3 linked regions of the Drosophila melanogaster genome follow. Changing the gene in region 2 together with the main gene of any one other region gives a genetic interaction. Each region holds a gene or a part of one and is shown on either strand. Other genes may lie near its edges. The genes, in order: wit, Abi and WASp.

Region 1 (3,754 bases), on a different chromosome or scaffold from region 2:
GCCCAAGTTTTCCACTTTGAGTGCTTTTAAAATGTCCCAGAGTTTTGTGCCAGTGCCAGAGAACAGCGATTTTCCGCTGGAAAATCTACCCTACGCTGTCTTCTCAACCGAAAACAATGTGAGTGATATCATACTGAAATCAAATCTTATATTTTTATGAGATTTTAGAACAATGGTCTCGCTGTTGTAAATGATAACTAAAGTGGTAAATGGCAAAGCAAATGTTCCTTTAACTCAGCCTGTTTTCCGTGTAATATTTTCAAGTTTTTCTTCAGTTTCATGTGACTTTGGATCGTTCCACATGTTCTAGAAATCAACTTTAGAACAGAAACCGCTTTGGGGCATAGCATTTGCATACATCATCCAAGACAAACTAGTTTGTTTACGAAAACAATATGCTAATCCAATCTTTAATACCCCAGCAACCAGGTTCTGATAAGGCCCCATATCATATATCGTATTTGTATATCGTAAATGGTGTTTTTCATCTTACCATCCGTAGAAAGTTCACCGTATTTGTGTGGCCATTGGAGAGCATGTCCTGGACCTGAAAGCTGTCTCGCAGTTGTTTCCTTTCCAAGTTCAGAAAAGCCTGCAGGCCGAAACTTTGAATGAGCTTATGGGATTGGACTTTGAAGCTTGGGATGTGGTAAGAAGCCAGACTCAAAAGCTATTGACGAAGGGTTCAGAATTGGACCACAATGTGGACTTGAAGGCGGTGTAAGTCGGATTTATTATAATAATTTATTATTCATAGTTAATAATTTATTTATTTATCAGTTCCATTGTGCCACAGTCTGAGATCAAGCTGCACCTGCCTGCACAGATTGGTGACTATACAGACTTTTACTCATCCATCCACCATGCCACCAATGTCGGCATTATGTTCCGTGGACCAGACAATGCTCTGATGCCCAACTGGCGCCATCTGCCGGTGGGCTATCATGGTCGTGCAAGTTCTGTGGTGGTTTCCGGTACTCCCATCCGTCGTCCTCTTGGTCAAACGTTTCCCGATGGAGCAGAGAAGCCCGTCTTTGGCGCCTGCAAGCTTCTGGATTTCGAACTAGAAATGGCTTTCTTTATCGGTGGTAAGGGAAATCAGCTGGGTGAACCCATACGCGTGGATGAGGCCTGGAAGAACGTGTTCGGTTTCACGCTGATGAACGACTGGAGTGCCAGGGATATTCAGAAGTGGGAATATGTGCCACTGGGCCCCTTCACCGCAAAGAATCTGGGAACCACCATCTCCCCTTGGGTAGTGCCCACAGCTGCCCTGAAGCCCTTCGTCTTGGACAACTTTCCTCAGGAACCGGAGGTGCTTCCCTATCTGCGCCAGAACATTCCCTTTAACTTTGATATCAACCTCGAGGTGTCTTTGAAACGTAAGTTGCCGCCTGTTAAAGATTTGTTACGTTAATTCACAAAATTTCCCCTTCTCAGCCGCCGATCAAAACGAAGCGCTTATTTCAAAGTCGAACTTCAAACACCTTTATTGGACTCCACTGCAGCAAATCGCTCATCACACAGTCACCGGTTGTAATCTGCGTCCTGGTGATCTGATGGCCTCCGGAACGATCTCCGGTGAGACTCCAGACTCGTACGGATCACTTTTAGAGCTCTGCTGGAAGGGCACCAAAACATTGGAGCTTCCGGGTGGTAAGACCAGAAAATTCCTCCAGGACTTTGACGAGGTCATCATCCGTGGCCACTGCGAAAAGAACGGACTGCGAATCGGATTCGGGGAGTGTGTGGGTCAGGTGCTGCCTGCCCACCCCGTTCCGCAGTAGGACCACTTATTAACATAAGTAAATGAAATAAATTCTATTCAGTCTTCCTGGATACGTCAATACATTATGATGTTCGGAAAACTTCAACTTTTCGTTCAAAAGCATACTTTTTGGGATAAATGGCCATCCATAGTAGCGTATACGTAATATTTTTTCTCGGTGCACAGTAATAAGCTCAACAAGTGCTCAACTCTTTCGCTCTCTCGCTACGATGCCTTGCTCTCTTTCGTTTACACAACTCTCGCTCCAATCGGAGCCTCTGCCATTCCACGCAGCTTCGTAAATACGCGCACGCCGCTTCTTCTTTGGCTGCAGAGAAGAGCGGAGAGCGCCAATGGGAGCATAGCTGAGCGGAGCAGCAAACCGCATTCATTCCTCGAAAGTCGGCGGGCGAAGGTGGGCGCGCTGCGAAAAGTCAAACGGCAAAACGGCAGAAAGGCAAAACGGCCCGCCTATCGGGCAAACTTGTTTAAAGTGCCATAAAAAAGCCTCTAAAAAGCGTAGAAATAAAAAAAGCTGCCGTGCAGCGCAAAGCAGACGCGACTGGCGCCGGTGCCCCAATAATAAATTTTCCGACGAGTGTGCAACTTCTTTCGGTTATTTAAAACAAAAGAAATAAATAAGTAATACAACTTAAAGTGCAAGTGCAGTGGTTGAATAGCGCCCTGAATTAAGTGTAAGTGCTGCTCGCAAATTGAAATTAAAATTAGTGCAGAATAGTGCAAATGTTTTCCGCAAACAACGCTGAATGTCTTGGAAAAATCAATTTTTTACTCCACTCTGCGCAAGTACACACACACAAATACGCTGACTAGCGAAGGGCAGACGGCGGGTTGGGGTGGGCCACCCACCCTGGCAGAAAACACTCTGTCTGCTCACAGTACACATGCACTGTTAGAAATGTTAATATCTTTTGCACATTATCACATAGTATGCATATGGATGTTCTTTAAAGATATGTATGTAGAACAATTGCGTTCGAGTAGTAGGATCAAGGGGCCATTGAAATTATTCGTATTTTGGATACATTATAAAATAATATACAACCCATTTGTTTACTGTGTGGAATGAAGTCAACAAGAGACCTCCGAATCCATACCCATTCAAATTCCCTTCGCCATTGTTGTTCTTGCTGTCCTCCGCCGACTGCATGCACTTTTGTGTTTTTGCATTGATTTTCCACATCGTTTTTTACACCGACTGTCGCAGTTTGGCCAAATGCATCTGCAGCACGAAGATGTATCCCCCGAATGGCGCGGATGTGTCTGAGGATGGGGACATGGACAAATGCACACGCAGCACGCAAAAAGTTAATCAGGCCCCAAAGAACAACAAAACGGTGGGGCCCAAAACACACTAACAGCGAAGGAGAATGTGAGCCTAAAGACAGTTTTATACCCTGTGATAAAACGAACTATAAACTAACATAGGTTCCTGTGTTACAATGTGATTTTTCTTAATTCATAAGTATTAGGAAAATTTATTGGTGCAAGATTTTAATGCAAGATAGTTTTAGAGCGTGTTGGGTACACCCTGACAAGTGTAGGGTATCGAGCAGTATTTGCAATTAACTGGCGCCGTCGGCTATCGTGCGAGAGCAGCCGGCGGGTTCCGCCTCCTCGCCCGCGGGTCCTCCTTCGGCCCACTCCACGGAGCACTTGGGACAGCGCCAGTTGAACCTGTTTTGGCGCGCCAGAGACACCGCTCTCTAGCTTCTTGAGTTCTCTTCATGTGCGCATTTGCTGAAAGTGGAGAAAGGAGAGGAAACCAGAAGCGAAATGGGAGAAAAGAAAGGCCAGAAATAGCGTCCCTTCGAAATTATAATTGCTCTATAAATTGAACATTATTATAATCATGATACAAGAAATATTGTACGAAAATGGAAAAGGAACAGAAAATATTCTATTCGGAGCTTTTCTTCAACTGGGCTTTATCGCGTTGACGCATCTTCCAAAGTTTTTTCTGGC
Region 2 (3,754 bases):
GCTTGGCAAAAGCCGGTCGGTGTAGAATCTTCTTTGGGTGCAGCTCGTCCTGCAAGAAGGCTTCGGTCAGCTCGCTGCCGCTGTCGATTTCAAGCTGAAATGTAAAACGTTGTTAGAAACATGAATCAGATTTAGTATGATTTAAAATTACTCATTATTTATGATTTACAGATTTCTATTTCAAGTGAAAAGTGAGACATTCGCCCTAATTATGATTCAAAATATTTCTAGAGATCGTGAATCAAAAGTATAGTGAATGTGGCGATTTGAAAGCAATAAATAAATCACAAACAATATATACCCTGCTTTTGCTTTTTATAGCCCTAATCTTTAGTGCTATTAGCGCAGCCACACCCACTCGCATTCATATCAACTCACCTTCTTAACAACCTCCACGCCAAGGGCCGCGAGCTCGTCGAGAAAAGGAGCCTTACAGCTTGAGTACATCATGCGCTCGCGCACGGAGCAGGAATATCCAGGCATGGAGTAGACGAACACGTACGACTCAAAGTAGTCGCCCTCGTGCGTGTGCCGAAACAGGAAGAGGTGGTATCGTGCATGATCCTCGGGCACTTGCTTCGGCAGATCGGCGAGCTCCACTTTGGCCGCACGCGAAACATGGATCTGTTCCTCCTCCAGATCGATGCGGAACTGAAGGTAGTCGTGCTTGCCGCGCACCAAATCCTGAACGGCAGCCACGGTTGCCTCGCTCAGCGGGCAATTGATCCCACCCAGAGTTTGGTGCCGCGTATTCGTATTGATCTCAGTGTGAACCTCTGTCTTTCGCAGCTCTTTCAGCTCCTCCTCCCTGCTGGTCAATGGAGCTGGGGCTGCGAAATCCTGCTTGTGCCGGCGATAGCCCTCCAGCGTGCACTCATCCAGAGTGGTGGCATGCAGCTCCTCTGTGATGTATGCTGATCCGAACTCCGTTTTCAACGTGGCCTTCGTGGAAGCGTATACCATCTTCTGTCGGATGCTGGCCGTGTCCGGCGTCCAGCTGATAAGTAGCCAACTGTAGCCCAGCGGGATCTTGGCGTCCAGGCGATAGAGAATATAGCAGGGCACATCCTTTTCCAGTAGGGGACCTATAAGCTTGTCGTAGTCGCGCTCCCAATCCTTTTTCGTCTCCGCCGTGGCGCCGCAACTAAGCTGCTCTGTAATTTGGGGCGGGGTGAAAACGGATGCGGGTTCGTTATCAAATCGTATGCCTAGTATATATCTTGTGTATATACGTTTCTGGATTAAATCCACTCACCATTCTCGATCGAAACTTTTATCACGCGAAATTTACCATTCTTCGCTTTGCCGAACACCTTGGCCAGCTGCTCGTTGGCTGAAAATACAAAGGGTGTTCTAAGGATGCGGATTAGGTGGTTCCCAAAGATAACAAACCTCGGATACCCGTTTGGTGAGACATTTGGACAACAGCTAAAATTAATATTGCCGAAAAAATATATTACTCACAACCAGTGTGACCGCAAAGCGCGAGTAGGGAAATACTAAACCGGGAAATATGTACCGATTCTGATTGGCAATCACTTCAAAGCGGCTTTAAATGTGTAAAAAAAAAAGAATTATTAATTAAAAAGATACTGTAATGCTATTTTTATAACTAAATTTTGGGAAAATTTTTAACACTCTGTTTTATAGAACATACATTTCAAAAATAATACCAAATGTGTCTGCACTGATACAGTGTTGAAAAATTCTTCAAGCTCCAGTACTTTGCAGCACAGGCCAGCGTTCTTTCTTTTTTCACGGAAAATGTAATGAAAAACTGCATTTAACTGCATTTAAAACGTAGCAACTAGCCCGGAAAAGCATCTGTTGTGCAATCGCATAGTCAATAAAGTGAGTGCACGCGAGATTCGTCCGATTAAACCGCTCCAGCGATCAACTGGAGCAGCTGGGCGTCGACGTCGGCAGAGGCCAGCCCACGCCCCAAATGTTTACGGGCGTGAAAAGTGCGGAAAAGCGAGGAATTTAATTGGGTTTTCGTTTCCCGTTTGCCCGCAGCATCCACACCCATGTTGACCGAAACCCCCATGGCCAGCGAGAACATCATGGACGAACTAGCCTCTCTGATACGCACCGAGATCCCCGATGGCCGCCAGAGTCTGCGGGACAGCTACACGAACCTGGAGCGGGTGGCCGACTACTGCGAGGACACCTACTACCGCGCGGACAACAAGAAGGCGGCCCTGGAGGCCACCAAGAACTACACCACCCAGTCGCTGGCCAGCGTGGCCTACCAGATTAACACGCTCGCCTATAGCTACATGCAGCTCCTCGAGCTTCAGGCCCAGCAGCTCGGCGAGATGGAGTCCCAGATGAACCACATCGCCCAGACGGTGCATATCCACAAGGAGAAGGTGGCCAGGAGGTAAGAACAACAAATTGCTTAAACTAGAATAGGAAAAGGGGATATGCATATTTTAAAACGACAAAGAATACGGAATGAACATTTTTGTCTGTAAGTACGACTCATCGGTGATAAAAGCTTCATAGAGAAGAAATGTACATTCATACATGCGTCGTCAGACGTGCTGATAAGACTGAACGTCTCTTTCTTCATTCTTTTCCTACATAACTATTTAGTTTTTTCAATTCACTTTATTTGTATTAATTATTTTTGATTATCTTCATTGTCTTTTCTCAGAGAGATTGGCGTGCTTACGGCTAACAAGGTGAGCTCGCGCCAGTTTAAGATCGTGGCGCCCATCAATCCGGAGAAGCCCATCAAGTATGTGCGCAAGCCCATCGACTACTCGATGTTGGACGAGATTGGCCACGGCATTAACTCGGCCCAGCACTCGCAGGTGCGACAGAAACATCGGGGCTCCAGCCATGGGTCCGTGCAATCCTTATTGCCGCCGTCGGTGGGACCTCCGCCAACCACGAAGCCCCCAACTCCGCCGCAGATGTCGCGAGCTGGGAACACTGGCACACTGGGCAAGTCGGTCAGCAATACCGGGACACTGGGCAAGAGTTCGCGGGAGTACCGCACTCCGCCTGTGGTCAATCCACCACAGGTGCCATCGCACTACGCTCCCAACTATCCTATTGGGCATCCAAAGCGAATGTCGACGGCTTCTTCAACGATGACTACCACCACCACAGGCGGCGGAGCGGCGGGCAATGAACGAGCTGCTGGCTACAGTGCACTTCCGATGCCACCCAGCCAGCAGATAGCCACACATGTAAACCTGCCCTCCGCGGGCATGATGCAATCGCTGCCACCACCGCCGCCCACTACGTACGACGATCGCAGCAGCATGCCACGTGAGTTAATTTGATTATTCTGCAATAGCTCAATACTAATAATGCGGTTTGCAATTCGTAGCAGCTCCTCCTTCACCACTTACGGTTTCGCAGCACGAGATGACCGAGCAGAGTCACATTGGCATGCACACTTTGGGACGCAATATCAACAGGTAAGTTTCTGGAAAATGCAATCCCTTCTTTGTGTAAATATAACCTATTTATTGTTCTCTGTGCAAATCCAGGAATCCAAATAGGTAAATTGCATGTTTCTCTGTTTATCATAGGGTTATACTCAGCTAAAAAAAGTTATACTAGGTTTTCGTGTTTGTACTGTGTATAACTCCATGAAATTCATATGTTATCTTGTATATTAAACGCGTATTTTTCCAAAGGAATCACTTCAGCTTGAACTTCGCTCGTCCCGGCTCACAGTCGCCTCCCTTGCCACCTCCGCCGCCGCCGGAGGATGAGCATCAAGACTTCGGACGAC
Region 3 (3,754 bases), about 15 Mb from region 2:
CGCCGCCTGAGCCGGCACCCGCACGCTTGGAACGCCAGGGAACCTTTGTCAAGGACGAGCCCACTAACTCCAATGTTCAAGTGCCCGTGGTGGAGACAAAACCGGCTCAAACCAGTCCCACTCACCGCGCCTCGAAGTTACCCACAAAGAAAGGCACGGCCAGCGGTGGGTCACCATCGAAAGCGGGCTCTCCCAAGAGGATTCCCTTGGCGCCGGCCCGCCGAATGACGCCTCAAAGGGCAAACACCAGTCTGCGACTAGCTGCGGGCAAATCTCACGCTGCCTCACGTGTGGTCTCCGGCCGCGTGTCGTCCACTACTCCACCATCCCGCAGCAACTCCAACCTAAATGGAAGCAGTGCAGCCGCAGCAGCTGCGGCCAAGATCAACCATGCGCAAAGTCGTATCGCCAACATCTGGAAGAGAGTGGACGAGGCCAAAACCAAGCAATCGTCATCCAACCTGAGGACGCAGAAAACCAAATCTTCCAACATGCTCAACGCAAATGGAACCAAGCCGACGCTCCTGCGCAGCTCCACGTTTGACAATACCCCCAGCACCGCTGGAGGAGTCAAGTCCAAGCTGCCAGTGGTGGGCGCGCGGAAATAGAGGGTTAATTTGTTCAGGATAGTATGGATCACAAATTAGCCAAGTTAAAGCGAAAACGGAAGTGGAGATTGTAAGAGGAACAGGACTGTATTTGTCAAGCATTTTTTAGGAACCGAACACGCACAGGTCCACATCCACAAGCCGAGCTAGAGTCAGAGTCAAAATCAAAGAGTTTTTAGGATAGGAGTTAATATACATACGCTATGTAATCCATATTTTACTCTCCTTTTACTTTATACATTATACGTAGACCCTAAAACTTTGTAAGCAACCAGTTTAGCATAGAGTTAGCGCAAACTCCTAGTAACTTCAACTTATCCAAATCACAGTCAGAGAAGGAAGCTCCCGATGCTCCCGATCGTGTGTAGCCAAATGTATTGCATATATATACACAAAATCAGGCCTTTCAACATGTGTACAACTACCCAATATATACAAAATGTATACTGGCATATATATAAATGCTATATATTCGATTGTCGCATTAACTAGGAAAGGTTTACCAAGTCGAATGTCTGTTCTGATTTAACTTTTTTAACACTTAGTTAGATGAGCTGTCCTCCAACTGGTGAGCTACTGAAATCAATTACAATCATATAGTTGCACATCTTTATTGAGAATATACTCTAAGTTTAAAATATGCCCCTGGCTTCCTTATGCAAACACCAAATATCTGAAGAGAGAAGAAATTCACATTTTTTAGTCACTGCTTTTTAAGTATTCTTTTATATAATTTAGCAAGTTAAGGGTAACTGTTTTAGGAAACAGCTTATGCATTAAGCTCATCATTTGCGACTTAGTTTTTACCGATTCAATGCGATTAACCATTTTCAATATGAATAAATCGAAATATGCTTTTTGTCAGCAAAAAATTAAACCAATGTGAATTTACTCGATTATAATTTATATCAAAATAAAACATATTTTGAAAGCCAGATGAACAAATATTTATTCGAATTTACGGGCGTGGTAAACAAAATCAAATTTAACGGAAAAGATAACATAAATGAAAAAATATACTATTCCCACAGCTCTCCACTCGCGATTTCTTAACGGAATTGCCTGAAACTTTTTGATAAACTTTTAAGCGGAACTAGTGATGGGCAAAATTGAAAAGTCTCGAGCATGGTCTGCACAGGGCCTTGGCAGAGCTTGATGCATATTTTAGGAAATTATCGAAAGGATAGTATTTTTAGCCTATCGCCTTTTTCGGTCGGTCACACTGGCAGCAATTGAATTGGAGTGAAAAAAAATAAATGAATAAACAAACTAGCATTGCGTCCGGGAACAGACGAATAATCAACCGAGGAACACTCGTTTTCAACGCCATGCACTCGATGACGCGGACGCGCGCACAGTAGAGCCTCCCGATAAGAGTCCCGGAATCCGCAAGGCCAGAGACTACACAGATTTTGTGGTGTGTTGTGTTGTGTGTGGGAAAAAAACGAAAGAGTGAAGAGCAGTGCACGAAAATAAACGCAAAAAATCAATGGGCGACCCCCCCAGCAGAGCAGCTCACAAGGGAAATTCGAGACCTTGAGTAGGGCAGCACATCATCCCATCCCATCCAAGCCGAACCAACCCAACCCATGAACTTACTCCCAATCCGCAGCAGCGTCTGTCTATTTACATTTGCATTTTCACCCCACCTGGCGCGACGACGGACAGGTGTTGTCACAAATCTTGGAGCTACGGAGTGGCGCACAGTGGGGTGGATTGGCTGGTGGCTTGTGGCGAGTGCCGAATGTTGAGTAACCCAGACCACTGTGCATGTATCACACATAGATACATGCGCACACCTAATCAGTGCTTTTCGCCAAAGATAAGGGCTCTTTTCGAAGAGTTTGCCACTGGCCTGGCTTTTGCCCACATTCAAACGCAGCTGGCTGGCTTGCTGGCTGACTGTTTCTGTTTCTGCTTCTGATTTCCGACTCTCGGGCACCGTGACTCAGACCAGGCGATCCGCTCGCAGCCCCGCCGACACCATAACCAGCTACATCGTCATAGCCAGCGCAGGTCTCGGTCTCTCTCGCTCGCGCTCTTGGCCGTAATTCGGGCTGAAAACCATTCAAAACCGTAAAGACAATACTGTCAATCGATTCAGCAGTCCCAAAACCATAATTCTTCGATCCCAAATCGGGTTATTCGCAACACACTTCGGACTCCGTTGCTCAAACTCTCTGTAGATCGGAGTTTTTACAAGCTGTACACTGTACAAAAAAATAGGCAGCCTATCCAAGTGTAGTTATCTTTTTATATTCGAAGGCGTTGACTGCAATAATTCATTTAAACGTTAAATATTATACAGTTTCTGAACTCTTTAGTATATTTATGGGAGCTCAAACTTTTCATATTGTATCGTCAACCCTACGATCCCAAACTTTTGTTCACTCTATCGAAGTTCAACTGTTACTCCGTGTGCCTTTATTGTTATGAACTTTTTACTTTTTCGGGGTCCCCAGCGTTTTGTGATATTAAATTAATACATTTAGCTTTTGTTCATTTGCGTATTGTTTTCGCCACACAATAAAATGCGTATTGTGTCCGTATTGTGCAGGGAAACCAGCCCAGATCCCCATATCCAGCACCAGACCCAGATCCAACGAAACCGGCCAGATGAGCAGCGGAATGAGGTCGCAGGACGGTCCACGGGCGAAGGTCAATGCCGCCAGTACGCTGCTCACCCAGGAGGAGAATGAGGCCGTCTTCAAGCTGCTGGGCAAGAAGTGCCAGGTGAGTCGAGTACTGATGATGCATAATGCCCCCAATCGGGTGATTAATAATTAAGCAATGACATGGTTTGTGTTCCTCCGCCTTCGCCGAGCAAATCCCACGGCTTGATGAAGCACTTCCTGCGGCTCAAGTGTCGCCCATCGTGTGCGAATTTCACTCGAAGCACAGTAACCCTATATCATAATATCATTCTACGGTCTACGGGCAGCTGCCTGTCATATTTACCAAATTTCACTTGCACACTGCCCAACATAGTTGAATGGTTTCTTTGCCCATTTAAAGATGGCACCGGAAGCTAAACTGTGAACAAAATTAGAGTTCTATGCACTATAGTTAGTTGGTCAGCTATAAAACTTGCATGGGAGTATCGTACACATTATTAGCTTTGGTTTTGATTGAAAGACATACTCTTT

The links.
Region 1: of Abi (region 2) and wit, changing one suppresses a phenotype caused by changing the other (phenotypic suppression), as found in Drosophila melanogaster (one study listed by BioGRID).
Region 3: of Abi (region 2) and WASp, changing one suppresses a phenotype caused by changing the other (phenotypic suppression), as found in Drosophila melanogaster (one study listed by BioGRID).

Annotation. Positions count from the first base shown.
Region 1 is NT_037436.4:4,070,118-4,073,871, reverse strand, and holds the start of wit (wishful thinking), read left to right. Parts: upstream 1-2,154; 5' UTR 2,155-2,463; intron 2,464-3,590; exon of another isoform or gene 3,591-3,689; coding exon of another isoform or gene 3,690-3,754. Other genes in the region: Faa (fumarylacetoacetase), read left to right, coding at 32-118, 503-720, 781-1,382, 1,441-1,787; CG32259 (uncharacterized protein), read right to left, coding at 3,690-3,754.
Region 2 is NT_033777.3:14,120,375-14,124,128, reverse strand, and holds the start of Abi (abelson interacting protein), read left to right. Parts: upstream 1-1,708; 5' UTR 1,709-1,851; intron 1,852-1,879; exon of another isoform or gene 1,880-2,016; 5' UTR 2,017-2,027; coding exon 2,028-2,383; intron 2,384-2,659; coding exon 2,660-3,282; intron 3,283-3,343; coding exon 3,344-3,434; intron 3,435-3,506; coding exon 3,507-3,518; intron 3,519-3,656; coding exon 3,657-3,754. Other genes in the region: twf (twinfilin), read right to left, coding at 1-94, 379-1,154, 1,256-1,333, 1,393-1,417.
Region 3 is NT_033777.3:28,830,089-28,833,842, reverse strand, and holds the start of WASp (WASp), read left to right. Parts: upstream 1-1,818; 5' UTR 1,819-2,025; intron 2,026-2,529; exon of another isoform or gene 2,530-2,624; intron 2,625-2,702; exon of another isoform or gene 2,703-2,849; intron 2,850-3,165; 5' UTR 3,166-3,224; coding exon 3,225-3,341; intron 3,342-3,754. Other genes in the region: Apc (APC-like), read left to right, coding at 1-608.